Linked DNA regions of Callithrix jacchus. The protein of the gene in region 4 interacts with the protein of the main gene of each other region in a pairwise test. Links are inferred from orthologs where the notes say so. Each region holds a gene or a part of one and is shown on either strand. Other genes may lie near its edges. The genes, in order: RNF144B, DTX3, RNF125, UBE2L6 and ARIH2.

Evidence for each region.
Region 1: the proteins of UBE2L6 (region 4) and RNF144B interact in binary tests that used the Homo sapiens proteins (3 or more experiments, as listed by UniProt). The link is inferred for Callithrix jacchus from reciprocal best matches to the Homo sapiens genes UBE2L6 and RNF144B.
Region 2: the proteins of UBE2L6 (region 4) and DTX3 interact in binary tests that used the Homo sapiens proteins (3 or more experiments, as listed by UniProt). The link is inferred for Callithrix jacchus from reciprocal best matches to the Homo sapiens genes UBE2L6 and DTX3.
Region 3: the proteins of UBE2L6 (region 4) and RNF125 interact in a two-hybrid assay, tested with the Homo sapiens proteins (3 studies listed by BioGRID and IntAct). The link is inferred for Callithrix jacchus from reciprocal best matches to the Homo sapiens genes UBE2L6 and RNF125.
Region 5: the proteins of UBE2L6 (region 4) and ARIH2 interact in binary tests that used the Homo sapiens proteins (3 or more experiments, as listed by UniProt). The link is inferred for Callithrix jacchus from reciprocal best matches to the Homo sapiens genes UBE2L6 and ARIH2.

What each region holds. Positions count from the first base shown.
Region 1 is NC_133505.1:12,443,764-12,449,547, forward strand, and holds part of RNF144B (E3 ubiquitin-protein ligase RNF144B), read right to left. Parts: intron 3,379-5,784; 5' UTR 3,335-3,378; coding exon 3,296-3,334; intron 1,612-3,295; coding exon 1,411-1,611; intron 1-1,410.
Region 2 is NC_133510.1:62,090,303-62,096,696, forward strand, and holds the start of DTX3 (putative E3 ubiquitin-protein ligase DTX3), read right to left. Parts: upstream 4,067-6,394; 5' UTR 4,040-4,066; intron 3,144-4,039; exon of another isoform or gene 2,869-3,143; intron 2,709-2,868; 5' UTR 2,646-2,708; intron 2,456-2,645; 5' UTR 2,409-2,455; coding exon 2,380-2,408; intron 2,043-2,379; coding exon of another isoform or gene 2,024-2,042; coding exon 1,294-2,023; intron 53-1,293; coding exon 1-52. UniProt on the Homo sapiens protein: Regulator of Notch signaling, a signaling pathway involved in cell-cell communications that regulates a broad spectrum of cell-fate determinations.
Region 3 is NC_133514.1:75,145,828-75,151,611, reverse strand, and holds part of RNF125 (E3 ubiquitin-protein ligase RNF125), read right to left. Parts: intron 2,921-5,784; coding exon 2,813-2,920; intron 1-2,812. UniProt on the Homo sapiens protein: E3 ubiquitin-protein ligase that mediates ubiquitination and subsequent proteasomal degradation of target proteins, such as RIGI, MAVS/IPS1, IFIH1/MDA5, JAK1 and p53/TP53.
Region 4 is NC_133511.1:115,134,294-115,140,817, forward strand, and holds the start of UBE2L6 (ubiquitin/ISG15-conjugating enzyme E2 L6), read right to left. Parts: upstream 3,605-6,524; 5' UTR 3,265-3,604; coding exon 3,151-3,264; intron 2,987-3,150; exon of another isoform or gene 2,911-2,986; coding exon of another isoform or gene 2,884-2,910; intron 1-2,883. UniProt on the Homo sapiens protein: Catalyzes the covalent attachment of ubiquitin or ISG15 to other proteins. Functions in the E6/E6-AP-induced ubiquitination of p53/TP53. Promotes ubiquitination and subsequent proteasomal degradation of FLT3.
Region 5 is NC_133516.1:31,597,326-31,603,109, reverse strand, and holds part of ARIH2 (E3 ubiquitin-protein ligase ARIH2), read right to left. Parts: intron 2,573-5,784; coding exon 2,421-2,572; intron 1,415-2,420; coding exon 1,271-1,414; intron 87-1,270; coding exon of another isoform or gene 61-86; coding exon 1-60.

The DNA.
Region 1 (5,784 bases), on a different chromosome or scaffold from region 4:
CTTTTGAGCACTTCCTAATAATGAGGAAGTGTGAATCTAGATGATGAAGTAAGCTAACTGTACTAACTCCTACCCTGACGCTGCAGAAAGAGAAATGAGAAGCAGCCATGCTGTTTTTAATTAGGAACTAAAATCTACTGAAACAATAACAAGACAGTGTTACTTCCCTGCGAAGATGAAATACAACCTTCCCCCGTGTTATCTGCCCAGTGTTGACACACAAACGTGAATTCTGCACTATTAAATGTCATAGCAAAAACTGAATTCTTTTAAACAGCAGTAACCCTCAGCGAAATATTTGCATCCCAATTTTCACCAAATGTTGCTTCTGACTCATTTGTTTCAAGGATTAGCAAGGGTCTGCAGCAAGGTTGAGAAAGCCAGAGAAATAATTGTTTTGAAGGACAGCCTTCAGAAACAAAGCAAGACCAAAGGAAACTGAAGCTGCTCTGAGATGACAAGGCCATTTCTCTACTTCCTGTAAACAAACAAGAGGAAGGAGAAACAGTACAAACATTACTCCTCAGCAAGGCCAGCTTCTGACCACCCTATTTAAAACAGCAGCATCCTCTCAGCCCTGAACTCCTACATAACTTTCTCTGATAGACTATAAGCTCTTAAAAGCAAGAAACATAGCTGGGTTTTGTTTCCTAAACTGATAAATCCTGGTGCCTAGAACCATTCCTGGGACTTAGTTCCTGCTTAATAGATATCTGTTGATTAGATGAACAAACAATGTTATTCTCTGTCATGGAACCCTATAGGAACTCTATTTCCTATCTTTATACCTTAACCAACCAACCGTCGAAGAAAAGTGGCAGTAAAGGCCACAGGTATTGACATCACGTGTCACACTAAAAGGGGCAAGCCCACTCCTGGACATCTATAGGGTTCTTATTAAGTGGAATAAAAAGCATTCAGCATATTGTGAAAACAGAATAAAAGGAGCTATGACAAAGTATAATTTATACCATGTGCTTTGTGGAAAATGAACAAGTACGCAAATGAAAATTCGGTAGATAAAGTAAATTGCTACCTGACTTCTCCATCATTCAAAAGACCTGGTGAGTTTCTTATAGGTGGTACTTAACTACAGAATAAAAAATAAATTTTTCTATTTTGTTCCATAGCTACAGAATAGAAAATAAGTTCCATACCTTGAACCTTAACAGAAAGACTGTTCAACCAATAATTAAATTTCAAACATACATTATACTTACCTAGAACAGGTAAACCTATGATTAACCATTTAAGATACTATTTGAAAATAGATTCAAATATGAAATGCTTTCCAAAGCAGGATCATATCGCAGCAAAGTTTGGCTTCTCAATAATCTGCAGAAATAGATCCTACTTTTATAATTTTTCCCAATGTATTTTCTCACAGAGAAAGCATCAAGGAAAACTTACAGCTGTGCAAAAGATGCACTGGCATTCCTGGAGTGTGGTCATCTTGTCCAGAGACTGCTCACACAGACAGAGTTTGCAAGTGATGAGGGGTGCCGGAGCCAGGTCTCCAGGAGTGGAATTTTCAGCTGTCATGGCGAGATAGTGGAGCCTACCAGCTGAGCTCATCAGACTGTCTTCAACTTTCTTCAGTCTCCTCAATCCCTATAAAAGGTCCAAAGCACAAAATATTATATGGATTGATAAAGCTCTTGTTTAGCCAACACATTAGGAGGCCAGGTGATCAAATTCTCACCCTCAGTTATCCCTAAACTTACAGCGAATACATTTCTGAGAACCACGGGCTAGAGAGCGTGCTACCTTGGCAAGGTGTCCCTGAAGTCCTGAAATTTAAGCTGACCTCACCGTCCTGATTCACATCATATGAGTTACGGAAATTAAAAGACCACTACAGTGAGGCGGGAATGAGGAGATGTTGGTCAAGCTTACAAAGTTCCATTTAGACAAAATGAGTAAGTTCTGGGGAGTCTCATACAGCATGGTGACTAGGGTTAGTAAGAATACATTGTATACTTGAAAATGGCCAACAGTAGATTTTAAATGATCTCACCACAAAAAAAAACAAGAGAAGTGATAATGTTCATTAGCTTGATTTAAGTATTTCACAATGTATATGTGTAGCAAAACACCACACTGTCTACCGCAAATACATATAATTTGTCAGTTATACCTCAATAAAGCTGAGGAGGGGAATACCACTAGAAGCAAACATGTCATTTAGGAGTTGCATCACTACAATCAATTCAACAGACCCAAAAAGTACTTAAAAATAGAATGCCACTCAAAAAGTTAAACAAAGAGGTAACGTATGATCCGGCAATTCCTCTTCTGGGTATATGCTCAAAAGACCGAAAGCAGAATCTCAAAGAGATATTTGTACACCCATGCTCATAGCAACATTCTTCACAATATCCAAATAGTTGAAGTGACCCAAGTGTCCATCAACAGAAGAATGAGGCTCGGCGCAGAGGCTCATGCCAGTAATCCCAGCACTGTGGGACACCAAGGCAGGTGGATCACTTGAGGTCAGGAGTTCAAGACCAGCCTGGGCAACATGATGAAACCACATATCTACTAAAAATACAAAATTAGCCAGGCATGGTGGCACATGTCTGTAATCCCTGCTACTTGGGAGGCTGAGATGGGAAAATCGCTTGAACCTGGGAGGCAGAGGTTTCAAGTTAGCCGTAATTGTGCCACTGCACTCCAGCCTCGGTGACAGAATGAAATTTCGTCTCAAAAAAAAAAAAAGAAAATGAAAACCAAAAAAAAACACAGAAGAATGAACAAAATATGGCATATACATACAATGGAGTAAAAAGAAATAAAATTCTGACACATGTTATAACATGAATGAACCTTGACATCATGTTAACTAAAATAGACCAGACAGAAAATCAAATATTATATAATTCCACTTAGATGAGGTACCTAGAGTAGTCAAATTCTGAAAGACAAAAAGTAGAATACAGGTTACCAGGAGCTGGTGGGAGGGCGAAATGAAGAGCGATTGTAGGTTAATTTTTTCCCTAGAGACAGGGTATCTTTCTGTTGCCCAGGCTCGAGTGCAGTGCCACAATTATAGCTGACTGCAGCCTCGAGCTCCTGGGCTCACATGACCCTCCTGCCTCCACCTCCCAAGTACCTGGGACCACAGGAGGTGGAGACAGGTGCACCTCCTCACCTGGCATGTTCAACGGGTACAGAGTTTCTGCTTGGGATGATGAAATAATTGTTTTCTTCATTTTATAGATTAATTGTGGTACTGAGAAGTTAGGTAATCTGCCAAAGTTCTCAGAGCTTGTACATGGCAGAGCAGAATACAAACCTCAACTTCTGAGGCCACCAAGCCCAGTGCCAGATCCATTACACCAGAGCTGCCTTACGTGGATGTCACATGGACAGATGAAGCTGGGAAAGGGAGGAGGAAGGGGAACGGAAAGAGAAAAAGAGAGTTCAAATCCATGACCACAGCTATCCTTAAGGTCCCTAAAGTACAGGAGCAAAATTTGAGCCGAGGCAGGTGGATCACGAGGTCAGGAGTTCAAGACCAGCCTGGCCAAGATGGTAAAACCTCATCTCTACTAAAAATACAAAAATTAGCTGGGCGTGGTGGCAGGTGCCTGTAATCCCAGCTACTCAGGAGGCTGAGGCAAAGAATTGCTGGAACCTGGGAGGCGGATATTGTAGTGAGCCAAGATTGCGCCACTACACTCCAGCCTGGGTGACAGAGTGAGAACCCGTCTCAAAAAAAGAAAAAATAAATAATAGCAAATACACCTCCCCCTATAAGAACCAAAGTCTTTTCCTCTTAATTTTCAGACAAAAGACATGACATGTATGTCATTAGCTACCTAGTCCCACAATAGCTTAAGTCTCAATATGTAAGAACAAAAGTAATAAAACAAGTAGGTGAAAAACAAATTCAATTAGATGGAAACGGAAAAAAATAAATGAGATATTTGCTTGTCGGTCTGTCCACATTCACTTTAAGTCATACCAAAAAGTCAACAATTACTAACTCTAGCAACCTGGAGCACTTCAGGTTTTTCACCTACTCCCAGTACTCAGTACCAGAAGCCTTGAGTCCAAGTAATTAAAAACCATGTCTTCCACATGTTTCCATGTGTTTCCATTTTTTCTCGGCAAAGGTCCAATAAGGTTCAAGAGAGAGTTTTCTTTTTCCATTAACTACTGAGGAGCAATCAACCAAGAGCAAATTAAATTCAAATAAACCTGCACCTCAAATTCGGGTCTCTTTAGGATGGACACAGGCATAAACATGAATGATTTTACCTCTTCCTTCTTCCCAGTTCATACTTAAACAACTGTCATTAGCTTGCGTCTCCAATACTCCCCAGCTCACAGCACACAGTCCCACCAGCTTCCCCAGCCGCAGTCTTCTCATCTCTATGTTCTTAACACTGCTGCACTGCTTAATTAGCTTTCTTTCAAGAGAAATCCCAAGTAAATCAACAAGAAATGTAGGTAGTAAATGCTTTCAGAGTAGGGGAAAAGGAGAAATGACAGAGACCAGGACCATCCCGCACTCCAAATGTCAAATACACTTAGCCGTTTGGAGAAAGCTGGTGTGAAGAGCCAAGTCTGATGTTCTGACCTCACAAGAGATCTGGGTGCTCTTCAAGAAACCCATGTATTTCTCAGTCTTACTCTTTATTATTTTTTAGGAGACATTTAACAGGCCAAAATTTTAATGTACTCTTGAAAAACAAAGACATAATTGGATACCTCTTAGAAATTAATTGGATACTCTTGAAAGACATATTGGATTACTCTAATACCTCAATTGTTACCCATATTTGAATACCTATAATTGGATATTTCTTAGAAATAGTCTTCTTTTGAAGGTAGAACTAGAAACTGTGGCAATCAAGGCCATGTGAAACATAATTGTCTCTCACTCTAAACAGTACGTAAGTTTGTACTCCTTAAAACTAAGGTGTTACATGCCTATAGGCTATGACGTCAAAGTTATAAAAAATATATGTTATATGTAAAAAATGTTTTCATGATAGAAAAGCCTTTACATAGCAGAGATGCATTTTGTTTAAAAAATTCCAAGCATTCCAAACAGGCAGGACTTGTGACTCAGTGACAGAGGAAAAAAGTTACATATTTCACCTCTTTGAGATGTGAACAATCCAAGATGATTCTTCAAAAAGTGATTTATTTTTCTGTGTACAATACCAATTCTCTAAAGCAATGACTCTCAGATATTTTTCAAGCAATGAGCTTTCCAAAAAACAAAAATCTTAGTCAAATCACCACTGTATAAAACAGATTCAGGTAGACAAGTGTTGGCACCCAACAGTGGGTGTCCAGAGCCAGTCCCCCTTGACCTTCCCCACTCAGTAGCCCCCCAGGCGCCATCACAGAAGCCTAAACCTGCACCACGCACAGATTAAAAACTAACCCGTTAGTTTCTCACTTTGGGCAAAACCAACAATGAATGTTTAAAAAGTGAATGTCATGCAGTGAGCACTTTATAAAAAAAAAAAGAATATCAAACAAGAAATCCTTTCACCATTGGTTCATTGCAAAATGAGCTCTTCAAGCAGTTAATAGGAGACTCTCGAAAGCATCTAATGAATTGCCCCACACTTGTGATGCCTGTCAATGAATGGCTCCAAGGTTTCCTTGTATTTCTTCCCTTGTGTCATTTTAAGATTCACTGGTCTTCATAACATGAAATCCCCAATAGTAGAGTCTCTTGAAGCTCAGAACATTTGATAACACACTCCCAGCTCCTCCTATCCCTCCCATCAGGCCACAACTTCACAGGGGCACAGGCAATTC
Region 2 (6,394 bases), on a different chromosome or scaffold from region 4:
AGGCCACCCGTGTGGTGCCAGGATACCGAACTCCTGGGTTTGGGTGTTCAGCCTGGGAGGAAGGTGAAGCAGAGTGGGCAGTGAGCAGCCAGCCATCCCAAGACCCAGATGTCAATGGAGGCGGCCAGCCTCTGTCTTAGCACCCCCAGCTAATGCGAACAGGGCAGTAACAGGCTGACAGCTTTCCAAAGGAGAGATTATAGGGCCTGGGCAGTCAGAGCCTGTTTCAGAGCATAATCTTTATGTGTTAAGAGGTTTTTTTCTGCTGTCTCAATCCCTCAGCAACAATCCATTCAGCAACAAATGGATTCTCAGAAGTGATGGAAGGTGGCTGGTCCCTGCACTCCAGACAACTCAGCAGAAATATGAAGACAGAATAATCTATCTTTTAGCCTTCCCTTCACCTGAAAATACTCCTAATATTTCTGCCACTGTCTAACCTGTTCCATCTTCCATTACTCTTCTGTGCAGCTTCTTTTTTTTTTTGAGATGGAGTTTTATTCTTGTTACCCAGGCTGGAGTGCAATGGCACAATCTCGGCTCATGGCAACTTCTGCCTCCTGGGTTCAGGCAATTCTCCTGCCTCAGTCTCCTGAGTAGTTGGGATTACAGGCATGCACCACCATGCCCAGCTAATTTTTTGTGTTTTTAGTAGAGACGGGGTTTCACCATGTTGACCAGGATGGTCTCTATCTCTTGACCTGTGATCCACCTGCCTTGGCCTCCCAAAGTGCTGGGATTACAGGCGTGAGCCACCGCGCCCGGACTCTGTGCAGCTTCTTTACCCCTCTGCACCCAGAATTCCACATTACTCTTTGTCCAGCAGGAAGACACCTATAGGCCCTTGACCACTCCTGTTTTAACCTTCCACTGGCATCAAGGTTTTGCTCTCATACATCTGACACAGAGAGATGCTCCTGGCTCTGTTGGGTTGTCAGATCCCTTCCTATTGTGCCTGCCTGCCCCTAAGCCACCACCTCCACAGAATTTACGTCTGCCAAATGTCACCATAGTATTTATGTTCACCAAGGAAATAATATGTAATTTCTTTCTCTCATATCTGATGTGTGTTTTTTTTCCTAGCTCATATCTGATTTTTATGTGTACCTTAGGATCACAGGGATGGAAAAGCTGGGCCTCACCAGGACCTCCTAGCTCCAGGGCACCGAGTAGGAGGGCACAGAGGAAGACAACAAGACTGTCTCACTTCTAACAAGCACATACCCTCACCCAGTTTTCCTAGGTCAGAGGCTGGGGAAGCCAAAGGATAAGGGCAGGACATGGTCTTCTTACCCCTTGGACACCGGGCGGGAAGACGTACTGGATGACGATGGTGCCGTACTTCTCGTAGCTGGGCAGTAGGAGGGTGGCGTCCTTAGAGACCAGCATCCGCCCATTCTGGGGCTGGTTGCCCACCAGCTGCCCATAGAAGCGGCCACACATGGGGCAGGCTTTTTTCACCTGCAGAGCCCGGGTGATGCAGCCCTCGCAGAATGAATGCCGGCACTTCTCCAATGTCTTGGCGTTCTGGATCTCCCCCAGACAGATGGGGCAGGTGCTCTCCTGCTCTTCTGCCTCCTCCCGAAGGCGAGGAGGAAGAGGTGGGGGCAGTGGGGGAGGAGGAGGGGGGAGCCCCCGAGCCCCTGGGGGCAGAAGTGGGGCTGCTCGGAGAGGGGGTGGGCCTGGGCGGTGCATCTCAGGGTGCTCCCCTCCACCCCCCAGAGCCAGGCAGCCCATCAGCTCCCCCTGCCTCTGAGCTTTCTTCAGCTCTTTCTCTGCCTCTTTTAGCAGCCCCTTGAGAGCCTTCCGGGCTAGGTAGAGCCCATTGGGAGGGGCCGGGGGAGGGCCCTGTGGGGAAAGCTGGAGAACATAGATGTCAGAAGTCTCGCCATCTATAAGGATGGACACACGGTGCTCCTCCCGAAGCCGGGCCAGCCGGGCTGGGGTCTCCTTGCTCAGGAAGTCCCACACAGGCTTGGAGACAGTCACTTTGTTCTTGCAGGTGCCTCCACAGGCTGCCATTCTGGACAGGACGAACGACACTGCCCCCAGGGTGAAAGGGACTCAGGGTGGGGGGTCCCCATTTGACAAGTATCAGTGCCTCCTACTTCAGATTCTTTCCAAACCCCCTATTACCTGTTTCTCAAAGCCTAATCCCCAACCCTTCCCCCAAATTCATATTCTATCTCCCTTTATCTTCCAAAGCCCACTGAAGACCAAGCAAGTTTCCAGAACTGTATTATCATCTAAACCAAGCATCAGTCTTGTTTCTCCTGTCATTTCTCCCAGATCGTAGAGACAATTTGCCCCTCCCACCTCTGAGGGAAAAATGGGCTCTTTAAAGGGGAGGGAGATTTTTTGCCCCTCCTTTTTGCTTACTTTGATCCCGAAGAGCTTAGAATTGGCATGCAGGCTCACTCTTTTTTCCCTGCTCCCTACTTGTAGGTCGTGTGACCTGGCAGGGCGGAAAAAAGGAAGGAAAGTGAGAAACCCCTTCTCCCAAATCCCCTGGCCCCCAACCTAGCAGCCCATGGAACAGAGACAGAAACCTGGGCATAGGTTACTGGGAATGGGATTACTTGGAACACGGAATGAAGGAAACCAGTTTCAGGGTGAACATTGAGGATCCCTTGTTGGGGAGGTACCTGGAAAGCCCATGGAAGATGATGGCAGCAGAAATCCTTCTATTTCCACTCAGCTGACCAGGCCTGGGAGTGGGGGAAGGGTAAAAAGTTATGATGGCAAATGTTACCATTTCCCTCAGCCAACCCAGAAATAAAAACTCCCCTTCCATTTCCTCTATCCTCTGCAGAATTCCATCCTCAGCTTCTCCCCAGGTTGCTCAAGAAGGAACTTCAACATGCTAACCTTCCTCCTTTCTTCCCCAGCTCTGAGGCCCCCAAGAAAGCCTAGGGCACACATAAGAGAAGCCAGGAAAGAAAAAGCCCACACAGGTGGAGGTCTTCCTGACGCCTCCCTCAGATCACATGAACTGGAGTATTTCCTGTGTTCCCAATTCCTTGCGCTGCTCCATATTCCCAAATAATTCAGCCCCTATTGCCAGGGAGCCTTCCTTGAGAGCTAACTCAGTCCCTTCCGCTGAAGTCTGTTAAAGAGGTGAACGAAGTGGCAGCAGCCCCCACAATAACAAAGTTCTCATTGTCACCTTTTAAACCCAGCACAGGCAGGGCTGTCTGTCAGCTCCCTAGTCTGGTATTTAGGGAGGGGCGGGGCTCACACAAGGGCTCAGCTGGAGAGGCCTGATGTTTCCCCAGAGTCTGGTCGCATTGGGCTACAGTGCTGTCCCCACAACACCTCCCAATGCAGCTCAAACAGAAAGAGGGGCCATAAGTGTGACCTCCATTTATTGACTGATCCAAAAAAGGAGCAGCTGTCCCTTCATGTTTCTATCATCATCCCCAAAGGCCAGAGGCACCTTGAGATTCATAAAGTGAAAATGGAACACTAGATCTTCAGCCCATACAGTCTACCCGCGATGCAACACCTCCCGTCTCATCACAGGGGACCCAGGACCTAGGTGTCCTAGCTCCAAGTCCTGCTGGCATAGAAAAGGGAGGCGGGGCCACAGTTTAGGGTGGGTCTGTGATTCCTCCGTGGCAACCCAGGCCGGACAAGGGACCAGTCTCCCTCCAGACCCAGGCCGGAGGGAGGGACAGCCGGGAAGGGCAAGGGTCCCTGGGGGCATCCACTGAGGCCGCTCCAGCCCTCCCCCCAAGGCCTCCTCCAACACCCGACCCGGAACCAACTCCCCACATCTCTCACTCGCCGAAGCCCCCGGATCCCCACCCCCGGGTGGGGGTGCAGGTCGGCCCGATCGCAGCTCTCAGAATCCCCGAATAGAGGCCAAGGCTGGAGGGTGCTAGAAAGATGATCGCCCGGGCCCGGAGCTGGGGGCCCAGAGCCGCGTACGGGGAGGGGTGGGGGAAGAGGGGGTGCCGGGGGAGCGGGGGGCGTGTGAGGGGTGCTAGCGGGGCCTGGGGGGCGCGCGGTGGGTGTGGGGGGCGCCGGGCTCACCTACCTCTCGTCAGCGCCGCCATTGCCGGTCACATGACTGAGGCTGTTGCTGGGATGACGGTCCGGGCCTTAGCAACAAGGGGGGGGAGACCCCGAGAAGGTGGGGGGTTGCAGGGGGTGCAGGCTGATGGAAAGGGAAGGAGGGAGGACAGCACCCCCTTTCCCCTCACAGGTGATAATCACCGTTCCCTTTGACCCCCTTCTATCCGCAAGCCCCTGCTCTTCCTCCCCAGAACAAAAATGGAGGAGCTGTCCCACTCTTTGGAGGGAGGGGGTGGCGTCACGGAACTGAGGGTAGGAGGTTAAATCCCTGGAGACGCCACCCTTCTCGCTCCCGCCTCCCAGCAGAGCACTCTCCCTTTTCTTTCCCAGCCAGCTGCGTAGCAGCTCCCGGGAGCTGGTGGTGGATGGGTGGGTGAAGTGTTGGTGGGTATATGGGGATTCGGAGGGGGGAGGGCGGCAATTTTTTGAATCCTTGTGGTAGAAGGGCCTTTGAGGAACAATGTGGGTTGGGGAGAGTCATAGTAAAAAGAAAAGCATTGGTTCTAAAAAATAAACAAATCCCGGTACTAAACTATTTCAATCCCCTCCCTCATCTCCTGCCTCTTTCTAGATTGTTACCTCCTGTGACCCCCACAACGTGCTCTCAGATGGTCATTGGTAAGTGCCTCCGATTTTCTCTTTCCACAAACGGATATGGAGGCTGGTGCAGAATGGGAAGTGAATACATTTTTTAAAAAGTGGCTTGGGGTGGTGGTTGTGTCAAGTGTATGGTTCAAATAGAGTTAAAAACTCTCAAAGAAAAAAAGCTCTGCTCTGCTTCCCACTTCAAGCAGTCTCCGCCCCCAATCCAACTCACTTCCCTGAGGCCAGCCACATCAAGCCAGGTTTTTCCACCAGCCAAAAGACTTTCTCAGCCAAGACAGGAATCTCCCAAACTGGCAACAACCTCTATTCATCCACCCCTTTTTCATTCCCCCTCTAGACTGGAGGGCTGGTCACTTTCTTCACTTTCCCAGGACCCTGCTGCAGCTGTACTCTTCCTTCCCTCCAGGAAGAGGACAGCTTTCCCAGGAAGTCGGTGGGGGGTGGAGTACTGAATTCCTTTTCTTTTAGCAGGTGGGCTGAGAGGCCCACTCACCTTTGCCAAAATGGAGTGTTAGCCAAGCCCAGAACTCTGCGAAGAGGAAGGGTCCCATCACCCTACTCTTCCCTGGCCCTCACTACCGCTGACCTGCCACAAGGCTAAAAACTAAGCTTTCCATTTCCGTGCACACACTTCACAGCCTTTTCAAAAAAGTTCACAGCCATCTGTCTAGAAACCCACATCCTTAGTTAGGGGCTCAACACCTTGAACACCAAAATTCTTCAGCTGGTTTCTGCACCCTTAAGCACAGGCTTCCTCAGAGAAGTGAAATGTTAATAAAAAAATTTAAAAAAAAAAAGTATTTCTGTACAGGAATTTGGATTGAATAATTTATTCCCTGTATTATGATAGCAATGGGAGCAAATACACGAATTTTTTTTTTTTTTTTTGAGACAGAGTTTCGCTGTTGTTACTCAGGCTGGAATGCAATGGTGCAATCTCGGCTCACCACAACCTCCGCCTCCCAGGTTCAAGCGATTCTCCTGCCTCAGCCTCCCAAGTAGCTGGGACTACAGGCACTCACCACCATGCCCAGCTAATTTTTGTATTTTTAGTAGAGACGGGGTTTCACCCTGTTGACCAGGATGGTCTCGATCTCTTGACCTCGTGATCCACCCGCCTCGGCCTCCCAAAGTGCTGGGATTATAGGCGTTGAGTCACTGCAACCGACCACGAATTTTTTTTAATAAAACAAAAAAGATGATAAACAGAAGCAACAAATGAAGACATCCATACTGCCCATAATACATCAGCCATGTGATCAGAAAACCCATTTCTAAAGAACAACAGTTGCTGGTGTCACAAAGTTTTATTGCATTCACTGGGGGAAAGGGAGATGGTTGGAATGAAAAAGATCCATCAGTCTCCTGACAGGAAGATGTTATAGGGGCTCCAACCCCTAAAACTGGGTACTCCTCTTGCTACCTCCTTTGGAGCAGAAGATGAAGAGGAGAGAGAGAGCTTCTCCCTATTGCCTCATGGCTTCTTGGGAGATAGATCAGTCCAGCCAGATACAGAGCAAAGCAGCTTTGCATCACCACAGGCCAGTTGCTGGTGCCCATCTTAAGGTTTAAAAAAAAAAAAAAAAGTGGAAGCCTCAGGGGGATGGAGGCTAGCAAGATGAATGGGTGCCTTGGCTCCAGAGGCATTGTAGGGTGGGGAAGACAATGTATCTCATCTCATCAGGGTTCTTAACATTACGAGAATATCACA
Region 3 (5,784 bases), on a different chromosome or scaffold from region 4:
TCCACAAAGCCTGTCATAGAACCCAAGACTTTTGCTTTGGGGCCAATGAATTTTCTACTTCACTTTGCTGTCTATGTATTAACTAGTCACTGTTATACTAAAACGTCTTGATTGGAAATTTGAAGTTTTTATCTGATGTAATAGAAGTATTTAGTCAACATTACAAATCCTGGTCGGAGTGTTATGTTCCACACAAACCTGTAAAATGGAGCAATGTTCAGGCATCCCCGCAGGCTTCACCAAGGCCAGCAGTACTACTGAATAGCTATTTTGGAAGAAAACGTTAAAAACAAAACTTTCTCCTTGCCTCTCTATGTGTCAAAGTGGAATTCATAACTTATGTCAGCACATTCTATAAGCAAAACAAAAGCCATTAAGAATACTATCCTCTGTAATCCCTCTCCTCTCCCATAATAAGAAAAAGAGAAATCTCTATTCAAAGTCCATTCTGCAACATTCTAAAAACAAACAAACAAACAAACAAAAAACCCCACAAAAATCCAAAGAAAAGCCATAAAGCCCAGTAGAGCACAAGGTTTGGTCTTGATATTGGCTTGTTCTTAGGTGATTTAGTTAACCTTTGAGCTTCAGATATTTCAGTTAAATTAAGATAACAATACGGTATTCACTTTTCACGGAAGTTGCTGCAAGGAATGAAATGTGATATGTACATAGAGTACTTGGCTTAGAATATAGTAGCCCTGTAAGCAAAAAAATAAAAACAAAAAACACTACTTCAGGCTCACTTTCATACCCAAGAATATAGCTGTGAGTGGCTAGAAAGTATTCTTATCAAAGTGGCTTCATCCTGACTAGCTCTGGATCATGCTTTGTCTGAAAGATCTTGAGAATAGGCTGAAGATGATTAGCCAGAAGAGGCATAAAATCCACCTGGCTTTTAGAACATCTCATAGAGCTAAGATAAAGAGAAACCTCTTTGTATTACCAGAGAGAACACAAAGACCAGAACCAAGTTCTGTTGAGGCCGGTGTGCTGTATAGGCCACAAAAGACATGCTTAGAAATATGGAGTGGAGAATTTAAAGTCTCTGTCATGTTCCTTGTTCAGTTCCTCAAGTGGTCCTAACAATTCCACTCCCATCCCATCTCCAACTTGCCTAACATCTGCTCCTGAACTATGCAAATCACTTTATATACATTAGCTCATTTAATCCTCAAAAGAGTTTTGGGAGTAGGTGCTTTTAATCTCCTCCCTTAACCAATGGACAAACTGAGTTTCAGAGGTTAAATACCTTCTACAAGGTCACACAGGTGACAGAGCTATTGCTTAGTTTAGAGTCCACATACGGTGGCTCAAGCCTGTAATCCCAGCACTTTGAGAGGTCGGGGATGGCAGATCACAAAGTCAGGAGTTCAAGACAAGCCTGGCCAACATGGTGAAACCCTGTCTCTACCAAAAATACAAAAAAAATTAGCTGGGCATAGTGGCGCAAACCTATAAGGGTAGCACCCTGCTACTTGGGAGGTTGAGGCAGGAGAATTGCTGAACCCAGGAGGCAGAAGTTGCCGTGAGCAGAGATCAGGCCACTGAACTTCAGCCTTGATGACAGAGCAAGACTCTGTCAAGGGGGGAAAAAAAAAAAACTAGTTTAGAAACAGAGGTCCCAGCATCCTATCTGGATAATAATAATAGGCAGATCGAAAACATGGAGAAAATTCTTAAATGATGATTTCCAATCATTATCAAATTTTATCTTGACATTGCATTTCATTTTTTATGTAATTTCATCTCAGCTAATAAGCTCTCGATTTAATAATAATTATTACTATGTATAGGAATAGACTAGAGTAAAAACTAATTTAAAAACTAAGTCTGGCCAGGCACGGTGGCTCACGCCTGTAATCCCAGCACTTTGAGAGGCTGAGGTGGGTGGATCACAAGGTCAGGAGTTCAAGACTAGCCTGGCCAAATGGTGAAACTCCTTCCCTAATAAAAATAGAGAAAAATGCACCATGTGGTAGTGCATGTCTATAATCCCAGCTGCTTGGGAGGCTGAGGTAGGAGAATTGCATAAACCTGGGAGGCGGAGGTTACAGTGAGCCAAGATTGTGCCACTGCACTCTAGCCTGAGCGACAGAGTGAGACTCTGTCTCAAAAAAAACAAAAAACAAAAAACTAAGTCTAACACTTTATTATACAACTATTGCGATTTTCCGGATTTAGAAAATTACAATGAAAATAACCTCATCTAGGATCCAGGGAAAACATTCTCTTTTTTTTTTTTTTTTTTTTTGAGATGGAATCTCACTGTCACCCAGGCTAAATTGCAGTGGTGCAATCTTGGCTCACTACAATCTCCGCATCCCTGGTTCAAGGGATTCTCCTGCTTCAGTCTTCCAAGTAGCTGGGACTACAGGTGTGTGCCACTATGCCCAACTGATTTTTTGTACTTTTAGTAGAGATGGGGTTTCACCATGTCAGCCAGGGTGGTCTCCATCTCTTGATCTCATGATCTGCTCACCTCGGGCAGATCCCAAAGTGCTGGGATTACATGCGTGAGCCACTGAAACTGGCCTAATTTTTTTATTTTTAGTAGAGATAGGATTTCACCACATTGGCCAGGCTGGTCTCAAACTCTTGACCTTAAGTCCCAAAGCGTTGGGATTACAGGCGTGAGCCACTGTGCTGGGTCAAAACATTCTATTTTCATGATTTCCTACTTAAGGCTAAAACGCAACACTCTAACTATACACACATTATTTCCTCCATAATTTTATTCACTTGGATTAGAAAGGTAAGCTCAACACAAACACCATAAAAACATAATGTAAAAATAAGAAAATATACTTACTATGAAATCGTCATAAAACAAAGTGTGACTAACTTGCAGATGTCTTATTAAACTGCCACTGAAGCTGGTTGGATTCTCATCAGGTATTAAACGGCAAAGTGGACAGAACTGGAAACAAAAAAGACCAGGGGTTCAATAAAGAATTTAAAATAGTTACCAGTGCCAAAATTAAAAGCAACAGGTAACCATTCAGAAACTCTCAACTTTATTAATCCATTAGCTACACCTCAGTATTATGTTATAAAATTACATATACATCAAAGTAACATTAAGCAAATAAAATTACATTTATTTCTTCATATGCATACATAACAATATAACTGTTTCATAGTCATCAATTTATTATTTAAACAATATTACGGTTACTAGATGTACTATAATTTACTTAATTAGTTTGCCTACCTCTTGGAACACTTGTTTTGTATGTGGATATTTTGTTATCACAAATGAGAATAACTATAGTGTTTACCTTTTAGGGGATTAGTTCCTTAGGAGAAATGGCCAGAAATGGCAATTACCAGGTCAACAGTTATGAATATCAGCCAGGAGTGGTGGCTTGCGCCTGTAATCCCAGCACTTTGGGAGGCCAATGAAGGTGGATTACTTGAGGCCAGGAATTCAGGACTAGCATAGCCAACATGGTGAAACCCTATTTCTACTAAAAATCCAAAAATTAGTCGGATGTGGTGGCACATACCTGTTATCCCAAATACTTGGGAGGCTGAGACAGGAAGATTGCTTTAAAAAAAGATTTTACCAGGTTTTTCCTGTACTTGTATTTGTGTGTGTGTGTGTGTGTGTGTGTGTGATATAGTTTGAAAATTTGTCCCTGCCCAAATCTCAGGTTGAAATGGTGGCTCAGGCCTGTCATCCCAGCACTTTCGGAGGCAGATCACTTGAGGCCAGGAGTTCGTGACCAGCCTGGCCAACATGGCGAAGCCCCATCTCCACTAAAAAGACAAAAAAATTTAGCCAGGTATGGTGGCAGGCACCTGTAATCCCAGCTACTTGGGTGGCTGAGGCATCAGCTCTGTCTCAAAAAAAAAAAAAGAAAAGAAAAAGAAAAAGATTTCACCAGGTTTTGCCTGTACTCATATTCTCTCTCTCTCTCTCTCTCTCTCTCTCTCTCTCTCTCTCTCTCTCTCTCTCTCTCTGTGTGTGTGTGTGTGTGTGTGATATATATTTTGGAAATTTGTCCCTGCCCAAATCTCACGTGGAAAGTAATCCCCGGGCGAAGGCTCAGGCCTGTCATCCCAGCACTTTGGGAGGAGGATCACTTGAGGTCAGGAGCTGGTGACTAGCCTGGCCAACATGACGAAATCTATCTCTACTAAAAAGACAAAAAAAAAAAAAATTAGCTGGGCATGGTGGTGCATGCCTGTAGTCTCAGCTACTCCTGAAGTTGGGAGGCAGAGGTTGAAGTGAGCCAAGATCATGCCACTGCACTCTGGCCTGGATGACAGATTAACACTCTTGTCTCAAACAAACAAACAAACAAAAAAAAACAACGGACCTAGAAGATGAATTAAAAAAAAAAGATACTAACCCAATCTGTCACTACAAAAGAAGCCAGTGTATTGCTATCCTTTATTTCCTTCTCTCTCCCTAACTTCTGATCCATTCCCCATATTATTATTTGACTATTTCAAGAAGCTTATATAAATAGAATTATATAATATTTAACCTTTAAGATTGGCTTTTTCCATTGAGCATGACTTTGAGATCCATCTGAGTTGCTGGGTATATCAATAGTTCCCTCCTTATCACTGAGTAATATTTCATGGTATGGATGTCCCACCATCTGCTTATCCATCTAGTTTTTAAAGGGCATTTAGGTTGTTTCCAGTTTTTGGTTGCTACAGATAAAGCTGCAATAAATATTTGTGTATAAATGTCTGTGTAAACATAATTTTCATTTCTCTAGGATAAATTTTCAGGAGTTTGCTTGGTTATATGGTAAGTATACGTTTAACTTTGTAAAAAACTGCCAAACTGTTTTCCAGAGTGGCTGTACTATTTTACATTCTCACCAGCAATGTATAAATTATTTAGTTTTTCCTTATTTTCCCCAATATTTGGTGTTGTCCAAATTTTTTTATGTTAGCCATTTTGATAAATGTGCAGTGGTATTTCACCATGGTTTTAATTTGCACTTCCATGATGGCTAATATAAACAACGCTTTGTAACTCTTTTTTTTTGAGACGGAGTCTTGCTCTGTAGCCCAGGCTGGAGTGCAATGGCGCAATCTCGGCTCACTGCAACCTCCAGCCCCCGGGTTCAAGCAATTCTCCTACCTCAGCAGCTGGGACTACAGCTGTGTTCCACTGTACCCAGCTAATTTTTTTCATTTTTAGTAGAGATGGGGTTTCACCATGTTGGCCAGGATGGTCTCAATATTCTGACCTCATGATCCACCTGCCTTGGCCTCCCAAAGTACTGGGATTACAGGCATGAGCCATGGTGCCTGGCAGCAGATGCTTTCAATAGTATACAAAGTGCCATATTCAAGATGTGAACAGGCAACTGTTCAAGACTTGTAAAGGGAATTACTAATTTTGCCCAGGGGTTCGGAAAGGCTTCAGCATAGTTGCTGGTAACTGAAGTGGGTCTTGAAGAATGAGCCAGCCAGGCCAGCAGGGAGGACCATTACAGCAGAAGAATCAATGAAGGAAAAGGCAGTAAATCCTAAAAGAAAAAGGCCTACTGAGGGCAATAGAAAAAGCTCACTGTAACTGGAGGTAGGGCAAGTTGGGGAAGTGGTGTGGGATGAGCTTGGAATGATAAGTTGGGACCAGTTCTGCTCCTCATTTATTCAAGCACCTGCCATGGTTTCAGTAGACTTGATGCAAAGAGTCAGAGGTACAGAGATGCCAATTACCTTGATCCCTACCATCAAGGAGCTGATTCGAGTCTAGTGAAGAAGATAAATACAGAAAACCTGGAATTTTAAGCAAAGAAGTTTTTTGTTTTG
Region 4 (6,524 bases):
CATGGTGAAACCCCATCTCTACTAAAAATACAAAAATTAGGCTTAGTGGCTCATGCCTATAATCCCAGCTACTTAGGAGGCTGAGGCAGGGGAATCTCTTGAACCTGGGAGGCGGAGGTTACAGTGAGCTGAGATCGTACCACTGCACTCCAGCCTGGGCAACAAGAGCAAAACTCCGTCTTAAAAAAAAAATGCAATTGACATACTGAAGAATGCATCAGAGTCTTTTAATAGCAGAATTGATCAAGCAGAAGAATTAGAGAGCTTGAAGACAGAGTATTTGAAAACAGATAAAACAAAATAATAAAAGAATGAACTATGCCTACAGGATCTAGAAAATAGCCCCAAAAGGGCAAATCTAATAGTTATCGGCATTAAGTAGGAGGTGGGGAGAGAGACAGGGCTAGAAAGTTTATTCAAAGGGATAGTAACAGAGAACTTCCCAAATCTAGAGAAAGATACCAATATGCAAATATGAGAAGGTTATAAAACACCAGGTAGACTTAACCCAAAGAAGACTACCTCAAGGCATTTAATAATCAAACGCCCAGAGGTCAGGGACAAAGAAAGGGTCCCAACAGCAGCAAGAGAAAATAAACAAATAATATATAATGGAGCTCCACTATGTCTGACAGCAGACTTTTCAGTGGAAATCTTACAGGCCAGGAAAGAGTGGTATGACATATTTAAATGAATTATGGCTGATGGAAAAAATCTTTTACACTAGAATAGTATATCCAGTGAAAATATCCTTCAAGGCTGGGCACTGTGGCTCACGCCTATAATCCCAGTACTTTAGGAGGCCGAGGTGGGCAGATCACAAGGTCAGGAGTTCAAGACCAGCCTCCTGACCAACATGGTGAAATCCCATCTCTAAAAAAAAAGGAAGAAAATATCCTTCAAACATGAAGGAGAAATACATTCCCAGACAAACAAAAGCTGAGAGATGTCATCAACACCAGACCAGTCCTATTAAGAAATGCTAAAAAGCAGCTGTTCAATCAAAAAAGAAAAAAAAAGCTAATGAGCAATAAAAAATCATCTGTGCTGGGCACGGTGGCTCATGCCTGTAATCCCAGCACCCCAGCACTTTGGGAGGCCAAGGTGGGTGGATCACCTGAGGTCAGGAATTCAAGACCAGCCTGGTCATCATGGTGAAACCCATCTTTATAAAAATAAAATAAAATAACAGGTTATAAGATACTGTTTGAAAACCTCCAGTAACCTCAAATCTAAAAACATACAACGGATACATGATCTTTGGACACTGTAGAACTCTTGAAATTTCTCTGCCTTCCGCCCAATATATAATATTAAACACATCCCATGCCCCCCTCCTATCTCTAATCTGTGTTCCATCGCCGTTCAACCAATAAGCTGCTTCTGGTGCCTTCCACCCAGGTTCTATTTATCTTTACCCCATTTATCTTTATTCCTCATTTATCTTTACCCCAAACTAGAAGCATCTGCATTTCGGAAGAGTTTCACTATCATCTGTGATTCTTTGGCAAGAACGAAGCCCCAGGTTGACCAGAGAAGATCTGGAATAGACATTTTCCTGACTTGACTATAACTGGGCACCCTTGGACTTTATCCATTTAGGGTGAGTTCTGCCAAAACGTTCCCAAAGCCTGAGGAAGTTGAAACCCAACTTAAAACACAGTTCTTTCCTACTGCCTATTAGGAAATCACCTGACTCAGAAGAACAGAAAATGAAAGTAGAGAGGCCATTAAAAGGGCCTGCAGACCTGGCTTCATATAGCAGTCCCACTGCTCCTTACTGAAAGACTCTGGACAACCAAGTTATTTTCTCTGCGCCCCAATTTCCTCATTTGTAAAACGCGGGTGTATATTACTTATCTCACAGAACTGCTGTGAGAATTAAATGAAGTAACTGCGTAAACTGTTTGGCATTCAACGGTTCCAGTGCAATAAATTCTGGCTCCCATCTCTCTCCCACTCGGCTGGAAAGACCCTCTGCCTCATTTTGCTGCCAACCTCCAGATTTAGGTTCTGGGCCAAGCCTGCTCTGGGTGTCGCAGTCTGAGGCCATTTTCTTCTCAGAGGCTGAGGGTAGCACCCTGGGTTTTTCCAGCTTCTGGAGGAAACTGCCCCCTCCCCATCCTTCCAGGTCTTGTTTCAAATTGTGTCCCTGATCGGAATAAAATTCAACAAGGACTGGATTTGTGTTCATCTCTGCCCGCCCCACCCCCACCTCCTAGAACCGGGCCAGCACATATAGGCATTCGACACTGGCAGAACTCACTAATGCAAGCCACCTACTCCAGGAGGCCTTCCAGGTCCGCCTCCGCATCTTTTCCTCCAGAGAATACCCAGGGAACTTTGCCCCAAATTCTAATCAGCATTCCCTGTTTCTCAGTACTCTAGTAATGCAGGCATCAAATTGTGGGATGGGCCATGGCTTATTCCAAGGCAAGGACTTCATCCTGGTCATTCGTGTTCATAACCCACCCAGCAGTAGCAGAATGCCTGGCACCAAGACGCCAAGAACGCTTCCAGCACTGGAGCCGCACTCCATCCTTATCACAAGTTTCAGGCAGGAAAATCGAAATTGAAACCAGTTTGGTGGGAGCCGGCTCATCCTCACCACGCATACAGGTCAACGGGCCAGCAACATCCCCTCCCCATGGGCCCTCCAAGCCCCCAAAACTCCAGCTCTGGCCACTCGTGCAGGCCAGACTCCTCCTCTGAGTAGAGGGCGGGGAGGACAGGGATTCGGCCAGCGCAGGTGCCCAGACAAATAAATAAATGAGCTCGGAGAACCGCGGAGGGGATGGAGGGAGGCGGGAATACGCGGGGGGGGGAGGGGGCGGGGGGCGGCAAGGGGAGCCAAGAGAAAAGGGTCACCCTACGAGCGATTACCTTCGCCACTCGCACGCTCGCCGTCATCTCGGGACCGAGTGTGTGGCACCAGCGGCCTCCAGCAGGACCGAGTCCCGACCCGCGACACCGCGCGCCCCGCCCCACCCCGCCCCGAGGACCCCACCCCCGGCAGCCCCGCCCACCCCTCCTCCCGCGTCGGTGCGGGACCTCCCCGCACCCGCTCGGGCGAGGCCAGGAGGCCGCCAAGGGACAACCCGCCGGGCACCCGCCCGATCCCCGCGTGGAGGTCTCGGACCCGGGACTCACGGTCTTTGTGGGGAGACGGGGGCGGGCCTCCGGGCGCGCGGCTCTGCGGACCGTGAGTCCTGAGGGGGCGCGTGCACCGGCCGCGAGCGTGCAGGGGCGCTGGGGGGCGCTCATCCGGGTTCCGGTCCCCTCGGTTGGAAGCTGTCCGCTCTCTGTCAGCCCTCCGCGCGCCGCCCCACATACACGCTCGCCCTGAGTAAATAAAGGATGCTTGCTGTGCAAACGCAGCTCCGTGACAGTTCTCGGCGGCCTCAACCATTAGACCACCGCCCTGAGCCCCTGCCCCAGCGAGCTTCCGCAGCCCCCGAGCCTGCAGCCTTCCCTCCGTGGGCCCAGCGCTCCATCTCCGAAACTGCGTGGTGGACGGCGTAGACCCGTGCCCTCCGAGCCGCTCCCCCGCTGTCCCGGATCCTTTGTGCTGTCTGGCGTTGCGCGCGGGCCGCAACGTTTCTCCCCGTGGCTTGGAGAAGAGCACCGCAAGGAGGCGCTGTTAGACCCTTTCTCTTTTGCTCTGGGGGTTCGGTCGACCGTCGTTCAGTCCTTTACTAGGCTTAGTATTCACTAAGTGCCTACTGTATGCTGGTTTGGGAAACGGTTGGTGGGAGATGCCCCTAGACGGACTCCGGAGGCTCCTCTCCAAGAGAGTCTGCTCCTCCTCCCTTATTTTACTACTGCTGGTCCATTACAAGCTGTGGGCCTAGCGTATGCCCCCATGCATCGCTGGAGTCCCCACCCCTCTGGGCAAGGACGGAGTACTTGCAGCCCCTGAGCACCAAGCAGCATCTGGGGAAGATGAGACTTGTTGGGAGGGCCAATCCCTCCCTCCTTCCCCTTCCCCACCCAACTTTAGTCGAGAGGAGAAGGGAAATCAGTAGATTTTGAGCACCGGTTTGTGATCTCAGCAACTCACAGTTTTGTTGTTGTTGTTTGTTTTTTGTATTTTTAGTAGAGACGGGGTTTAACCATGTTGGTCAAGCTGGTCTCGAACTCCTGACCTCGCGATCCGCCCGCCTCGGCCTCCCAAAATGCTAGGATTACACGCGTGAGCCACCGCGCCCCAGTTTTTGTTTTTGTTGATTCTGACAGAGTCTCACTGCCGCCCTGACTGGAGTTCGGTGGCAATATCGGCTACTGCTGCCTTCGCCTTCCGGCTCAAGCTGTTCTCTAGGCAACCTCCTGAGTAGCTGAGATTTACAGACCCGCACCCCAACGACCGGCTCATTTGTGTATTTTTAGTAGAGACAGAATCTCGAACTCGTGGTTTCAAGTAATTCGCCCAGCTCGGCCTCCCAAAGTGTTGGGATTGCAGACGTGAGCCACCGTGCCCGGCCCATAGTTTTAAAATAAGTATTTTGATTCCCAGTGATTTTGCAGATCAATTAATTGTGTTTCATTCAATTCAATAAACTTTAACAGCATCTCCTATATGCCAGAAATGAATAGGACACTGTCTGTAACCTCTGAACAGGGGTAGAGATGAGGGAACAAAGACATTCACACCTGCCTCTGATCAGTAGTCTCAGTCAACAAGCACTTACATCCCAGCACTTTGGGAGGCAGAGGCCGGCAGATCACGAGGTCAGGAAATCAAGACCAGCCTGACCAATAGGGTGAAACCCCATCTCTACTAAAAATACAGGCTGGGCGCGGTGGCTCACGCCTGTAATCCCAGCACTTTGGGAGGCCGAGGCGGGTGGATCATGAAGTCAACATATCGAGACCATCCTGGTCAACATGGTGAAACCCCGTCTCTACTTAAAAAAAATACAAAAAATTAGCTGGGCATGGTGGCACGTGCCTGTAATCCCAGCTACTCAGGAGGCTGAGGCAGGAGAATTGCCTGAACCCAGGAGGCAGAGGTTGCGGTGAGCCGAGATGGCGCCATTGCACTCCAGCCTGGGTAACAAGAGAGAAAATCAGTCTCAAAAAAAAAAAAAATTAGCTGGGTGTGGTGGTATGCGCCTATAGTCCCATCTACTCCGGAGGCTGAGGCAGGAGAATCACTTGAACCTGTGAGGCGGAGGTTGCAGTGAGCCGAGATCAATCCATTGCACCCCAGACCGGCGACAGAGCCAGACTCTGTCTCAAGAAAACCAAACACACACACACACACACACACACACACACACACACACACACACGAAAAAACCAGCACTTACTACTTGGGGGCAGGCGTTGCCAGCAGAAAACACCAGGATGAAAAAGGGGAGTCCCCGCCCCTGAGGAGCTCTCAGACTACTGGGCCAGAGGGAGAGAATGCAGCTCCTGATTTTTAATGATAATGATGTGGAGAATCACCTCGTACTCCGGGAATATGAGGAAGATCACTTAATCTCCCTTCAGAGAGGGGCAGACATTTCCCGAAAGAGAGAAAAATCCAAGCGTATTGTGAAACATGATGAGTCAGCGAGAGTAAGAGCGTGGGATGAAGATGTCCTAACAAGAAGGAACAGCATGAGCAAAGGGGGTAGTGTCTACAGAAACAGGAGCAAACGCCTCTGTCCACGCTCTGTAGCTCTTTTTTTTCTTACAGAAACGCTGCATCCTGAGGCAAATTCACAGTAGTGGAAATAGCTGGGTTCTAAGCCCACACACAGTGGGGCAGCCCACAGGTGTGATTTTCATGTCCTTTCACAATGCAGACCTCTGTGTGTCAGAACAAGCCCCAGGGATATCTGGGTTCTAGTTCCACATTTGCCCCCATGTGCAGTATGGCTTTGGGTGGGTGTCTGCTTCCCAGGACCATTGTGAGGCTAAGCTGAGGGAAATGGAGGAAGTTTGAAAATTCTAAGTCCAAGATATAAACAATCAAGTTTGAATCCCAGCTCCACTATTCTTGGCTAAATAACCTTGGGCAAACTACTTGACCTGTCTGGGCCTCCATTTTCTCATCTGTTAAATGGGGCTCATAATAGTGCATGTGAGGAATAATGAGTGGATATTTACAAAGAACTTAACTTTGAATGGTGGACAATAAGTGACAGTCATAATAATGATAACACAGTAAATATTAAAATGGGCTGGGCATGGTGGCTCATCCCAAAATCCCAGGACTTTGGGAGGTTGAGGTGGGTGGATCACGAGGTCAGGAGATCGAGACCAGCCTGGCCAACATAGTGAAGCCCCACCTCTACTAAAAATACCAAAAATTAGCCAAGGATGGTGGCATGTGCCTGTAGTCCCAGCTACTCAGGAGGCTGAGGCAGGAGAATCACTTGAACCTGGGAGGCAGAGGTTGTGGTGAGCCGAGATCCCACTGCTGCACCCTACCCTGGGCAACAGAGCAAGACTCCATCTCAAAAAAGAAAAATAAATAAATAAGTGTTAAAATGATGTCAGGTGCCTGCCCAGGAGTGAATGTACCAGGCTATAGG
Region 5 (5,784 bases), on a different chromosome or scaffold from region 4:
CCTGGGTCCAGACTCCATGTAATATGCATATGGGTAGGTGTATTGCAGGGTGTATCGACACTGCAACAGGATAGAAGAGAAGCGACCTGTGTCTGTGATTCTAAGCTACCTGCATCTCAGGTGGCTCTTACAATTCCTACCCCCAGCATGCAAATTAGCCTAGCTCTATAGGTATGGGTGTGAAATAAATGATACTAAGCCGAATAGACGATGAATTGGGAAAAGACATGGGGAAAAACAAACAACAATGGTCACAGAACACCCAGACTTCCTTTTACAAACTGATTAATTACCAACAGCTGCCTCAATCAGAGTCCACACATCTGTCTCAATGCTTACCCAAAGACAATCTCTTCTTTTTTTTTTTTGAAACTGTCTCGCTCTGTTGCCCAGGCTGGAGTGCAGTGGTGCAATCCCCACTCACTGCAACCTCTGCCTCCCAGACTCAAGTGATCCTTCCACCTCACCCTTCCAAGTAGCTGGGACTACAGGTGTGCATTACCACACCAGGCTAATTTTTGTATTTTTTTTGTAGAGACGGTGTTTTCTCATGTTGCCCAGGCTGGTCTCAAACTCCTCGGCTCAAGCAATCCACCTGCCTTGGCCTTCCAAAGCGCTGGGATCACAGGCACCCTGCCCAATCTTTTTTTTTTTTTTTTTTTTTGAGACAAAGTCTTGCTCTCTTGCCCAGGCTGGAGTGTAATGGCATGATCTTGGCTCACTGCAGCCTCTGCCTCCCAGGTTCAAGGGATTCTCGTGCCTCAGCCTCCCAAGTAGCTGGGACTACAGGCATGTGCCACCACACCCAGCTAATTTTTGTATTTTTAGTAGAGATGGGGTTTCACCATGTTGGCCAGGCTGGTCTCAAACTCCTGACCTCAAGTGATCCACTCTAACCTCAACTGATCTGCCTGCCTCAGCCTCCCAAAGTGCTGGGATTACAGGTGTGAGCCACCATGCCTAACCCTTCAGAAAATCTTTTATTTTCCTTTGGAGTAATGCATACACAGGACAAAGGAGAAGTAAAGGGCTCTAGTTTTCCCTGCAGGCAGAGGCAGTGCAACACTCTTAGAAATCCCTGGGACATCCAGCAGAGAACTGGGTCCTTGATGGACGTAGCAAATGAAGATGTGGATCCACAAGCAGAAGTGTGGAACGCTGCACAGGGTGCTAAAATACCCTCTCCCAGCAGGGCTTCCCACCTTCAGAGGTCTGTGCCCGATGGGGCCAGGCACTGGAGCAGGGATAGGATGAGTGAAGTGGTAGATACCTTGGCCAAGAGCTTGGCAGCATTCTGTAGGTACTGCCAGTCGATCCATGTCCCCAGATTGTTCATGACCCTCTCCTGAATCTTCTCGTGAATCCGCTGGTATGTCTGTGCCTCTAGCTGCAAGCTTTTGTTGTGGTTTTCCCACTACAGGGCACAGAAAGAAGAAGAAAACCACAGGAGTCCCACAAAGGTGCAGAGGTCTACACAGGAGTTGAGGATAGACACCTTGATGGCAAGACATGGCCACGGACTCCTCTAACTTATGGAGAATGTGTGCAGGAGCAGGTCTTCTTCAGCCATCCTTCTAACCTGTCCAGAGCAGCTGTATGCCTGCCAGATCACACTACCTTTCTGGAGCAATGGGACTCCAGCCCTGAGGACTATGCAAAGCTAGGTCCCTAATGGTCTAATGTGCTCTTTGGGCTTCTGAAGGGCTCCTTCAGAAAGGAGAAACTGCTTTCCAAATATGACTACTGAGATGATACTATGGGAACAGATTGTGAGGACAAAAAGAAAAAAATGAATAAAAATTTAAAACGTAGAAAAAAGAAAAAAAAAATGGCACTAGATGGAAAAGACTATCTGATGGCCCTTCACTGTCCTTCAACCAATCATTTGGCTGGGCGCAATGGCTCACGCCTGTAATCCCAGCACTTTGTGAAGCCGAGGTAGGCAGATCACAAGGTCAGGAGTTCAAGACCAGCCTGGCCAATATGGCAAAACCCCGTCTCTGCTAAAAATTACAAAAATTAGCCAGGTATGGTGGTGGGCGCCTGAAGTTCTAGCTACTTAAGGAGGTTGAGGCAGGAGAATCACTTGAACCCGGGGGGGATGGAGGTTGCAGTGAGCTGAGATCATGCCACTGCACTCTGGCCTGGGCAACAGAGAGAGATTCTGTCTCAAAAAAAAAAAAAAAAAACCATCATTCAACCAAGGTCAGTACCAGTTCCTTCCCTGTTGGCTGGGGATACCCTGTAGAGCTTGAAAGGCACATCTATACAGGCAGCACCCAGGGATACCGCAGGAGCTCCATTCACTGACTTCTATGTGTACAGGCTGGCTCTGGCTACCAGTCCATGGGAATCCCACCCCAACAGGCCAAGTGGAAGAAGCCAACCCTGTAGGGGAAGGTACAGAAGAGGACACCTACCCTCTCAAAGTAGAATAAGTACTTCTTGAGGGCTTCCCTTGCCTGGGCTTGTTGGCTCTGGTTCACAATGTCAGGATTCTCCTTGTAACGACTGCACTCATAGTATTCACTGCCATGAGTCTTCCAATCTCCTAGACACATCCAGCAGAAGTCTGTACAGAACAGAGAAAAGTCTTTTACATCCACAAGACAACTCCACTTTCCTCCAAAGGCAGAGTGAGACAGACAGACCCAGCTCCAAAGTGGTCACCTGAAAAGAACTTCGCAAGGGTGCCTCTTTCCAGAAGGAATGTGCACCTCTCATCCCTGTCATATCCTACTGTCCTTATAGCCTATACTTGCTGATATGAACAATAGCCTATGGATAATTTCTTTTTTTCTTTTTGAGATGGAGTCTTGCTCTGTTGCTAGGCTAGAGTGTGATGGTGCAATCTCAGCTCACTGCAACCTCTTACACCTTGGTTCAAGCAATTCTCCAAGTAGCTGGGATTATAGGCACATGCCACCATGCTCAGCTAATTTTTGTATTTTTAGTAGAGACAGGGTCTCACCATGTTGGCCAGGCTGGTCTCAAACTCCTGACCTCATGATCTGCCCACCTAGACCTCTCAAAGTGCTAAGATTACAGGCTTTGAGAGCCACTCCACATGGCAGCTTATGGATAATTTCTATTCCATCAGCACATGTGCCATGTGCCTTATTAATCTAACACAGGCAGATGCTGACCATAGACTACTGGTCTGCTATGTCAATGCCACAATGAGAAGCAGGAACTCATCCAATTGAGGACTACCTGTCTAAACACATCATCAGTAAAAACTGACCTCCCGACTGCTTCCTACCATCACATTCGTCCTAGAAAGATTTCTGTAGTCCTAGAAAGATTTCTGTATCGAAAGCTAATAATAAAGGCTTTTTCCCTTTTTTTCTGTTTTAAAGAACACAATTCCTATTCTTTTTGAGACAGAGTCTTACTCTGTCCCCTAGGCTGAAGTGCAGTAGTGCGATCTCAGCTCACTGCAACCTCCTCCCAGGTTCAAGTGATTCTCCTGCCTCAGCCTCCAGAGTAGCTGGGATTACAGGTGCCCGCCAACACGTCTGGCTAATTTTTGTATTTTTAGTAGAGATGGGGTTTCACCATGTTGGCCAGGCTGGTCTCGAACTCCCAACATTCAGTGATCTGCCCATTTCTGCCTCCCAAAGAACACATTTCTATAAAACCAAGAGCAATCCAATGGTTCATACTCAGAATTATTCTGTTTTGGCTGAGCGCAGTAGCTCACACCTGTAATCCCAGCACTCTGGGAAGCTAAGGCGGGTGGATTACCTGAGGTCAGGAGTTCAAGACCAGTCCAGCCAACATGGTGCAACCCCCATCTCTACTTAAAAAAATTAGCCAGTACAGTGGCACGATCTCAGCTCACTGTGACCTCTGCCTCCTGGGTTCAAGATTCTCATGAAATGGCAGTTAACTCTGGGTGTCAAGGGATACTGACACCCGGGGACTTCTTAGGCACTAAAAATGTAGTGGGTGCTGGGGTGTTTGTCATTATTCTTTAAGCTGTATGTGTCTTTTGCATTGTTCTAAGTCTATGATACACTTCCCTCTCTGATATATACATAGAAAAAGAGAAAGAAAGAGTGTGGACCCACAGAAGAAATATGCCACTACCTATGGCCTATCTTCGTTTGGCACTGCAGAGTCAATGTTGTTAAGACCCTGCCATGACCACTCTGATTAAGAGGGGTCTTCGGGCTGGGCGTGGTGGCACATGCCTGTAATCTAGCACTTTGGGAATCCAAGGCAGGCAGATCACCTGAGGCCATGAGTTTGAGACCAGCCTGGCCAACATGGTGAAACCCCATCAGCCAGGCGTGGTGGTGGCGCCTATAATCACAGCTACTGGGGAGGCTGAGGGAGAATCGCTTGAACCCGGGAGATGGGTTCACACCACTGCACACCAGCCTGGGTGACAACAGCAAAACTCCATCTTTAAAAAAAGAAAAAAAAGGCCAGGCACGGTGGCTCACGCCTTTAATCCCAGCACTCTGGGAGGCCGAGGCAGACGGATCACCTGAGGTAAGGAGTTTGAGACCAGCCTGGCCAACATGGTGAAACCCTCTCTCTACTAAAAATACAAAAAACTAGCCAGGCTTGGTGGGCACCTGCAATCCCAGCTACTCAGAAGGCTGAGGTGGGAAAACTGCTTAAACCTGGGAGGCAGAGATTGCAGTGAGCCAAGATTACTCCACTGCACTCCAGCCTGGGAGTGACAGAGCGAGACTCTGTCTCAAAAGAAAAAAAGAAGGCTGGGCACAGTGGCTCACACCTATAATCCCAGCACTTTGGGAGGCTGAGGCAGGTGGATCACAAGATCATGAGATCGAGACCATCCTGGTCAACAAGGTGAAACCCCGTCTCTACTAAAAATACAAAAATTAGCTGGGCATGGTGGTGCGTGCCTGTATTCCCAGCTACTCGGGAGGGAGGCTGAGGCAGGAGAATTGCTTGAACCCAGGAGGTGGAGGTTGCAGTGAGCTAAGATCGTGCCATTGCATTCCAGCCTGGGTGACAAGAGTGAAACTCCATCTCAAAAAAAAAAAAAAAAAGAAATAGAAAAAGAAAAAAGAAAAGAGGGTTCCTGGGAATAGCATTCACACAGGCCCTTACAAACAAAAACTCTCAGCCAGGCACAATGGCTTACTCCTATAATCTCAGCACTTTGGGAGGCCAAGGCAAGTGCATCACCTGAGGTCAGGACTGGCCACCGTGGCAAAACCCATGTCTACTAAAAATACAAAAATTAGCTGGGCATGGTGGCATATGCCTGTAATCCCAGCTACTCAAGAGGCTGAGGCAAGAGAATCACTTGAACCCAGGAGACAGAGATCGTACCACTACACTCCCATCTGGGCAACAGAGATTCTGTCTCAAAAAAAAAAAAAAAAAAAAAAAAAAGTAGAAACTCTCGGGGGCTCCTGATAAGCATCAAAGCAGCTGTCTGTGTAGGAGACCTACTTCGACATATTTTCTACTTGAAGGGATTCTGTTTCTTCAGTTGACCTGGCAGGAAGCCATGCAAAACCAATTGGTTCTAGCTATGTAAACTACTCCTGATCGATAAAGGAGGTCTGAAATGCTAAATCAAAACCCCCTCTATAAACTTTGTAAAACAGCAAGAGAAAAGCATTATTTTACTGCCTCTGGTAAAGGTATCTCTAAGGTAGCACAGATAAGCCCCAAGCTACTTACCAGCCTTGGCAAAGAATGAAAGCAACACCCTGAAATCATCTTCTTGGATGACTGAGGATCATGAGGATTATCCCAAACTTGACTTCTGACTATATGTGTTAGCAAGATAGT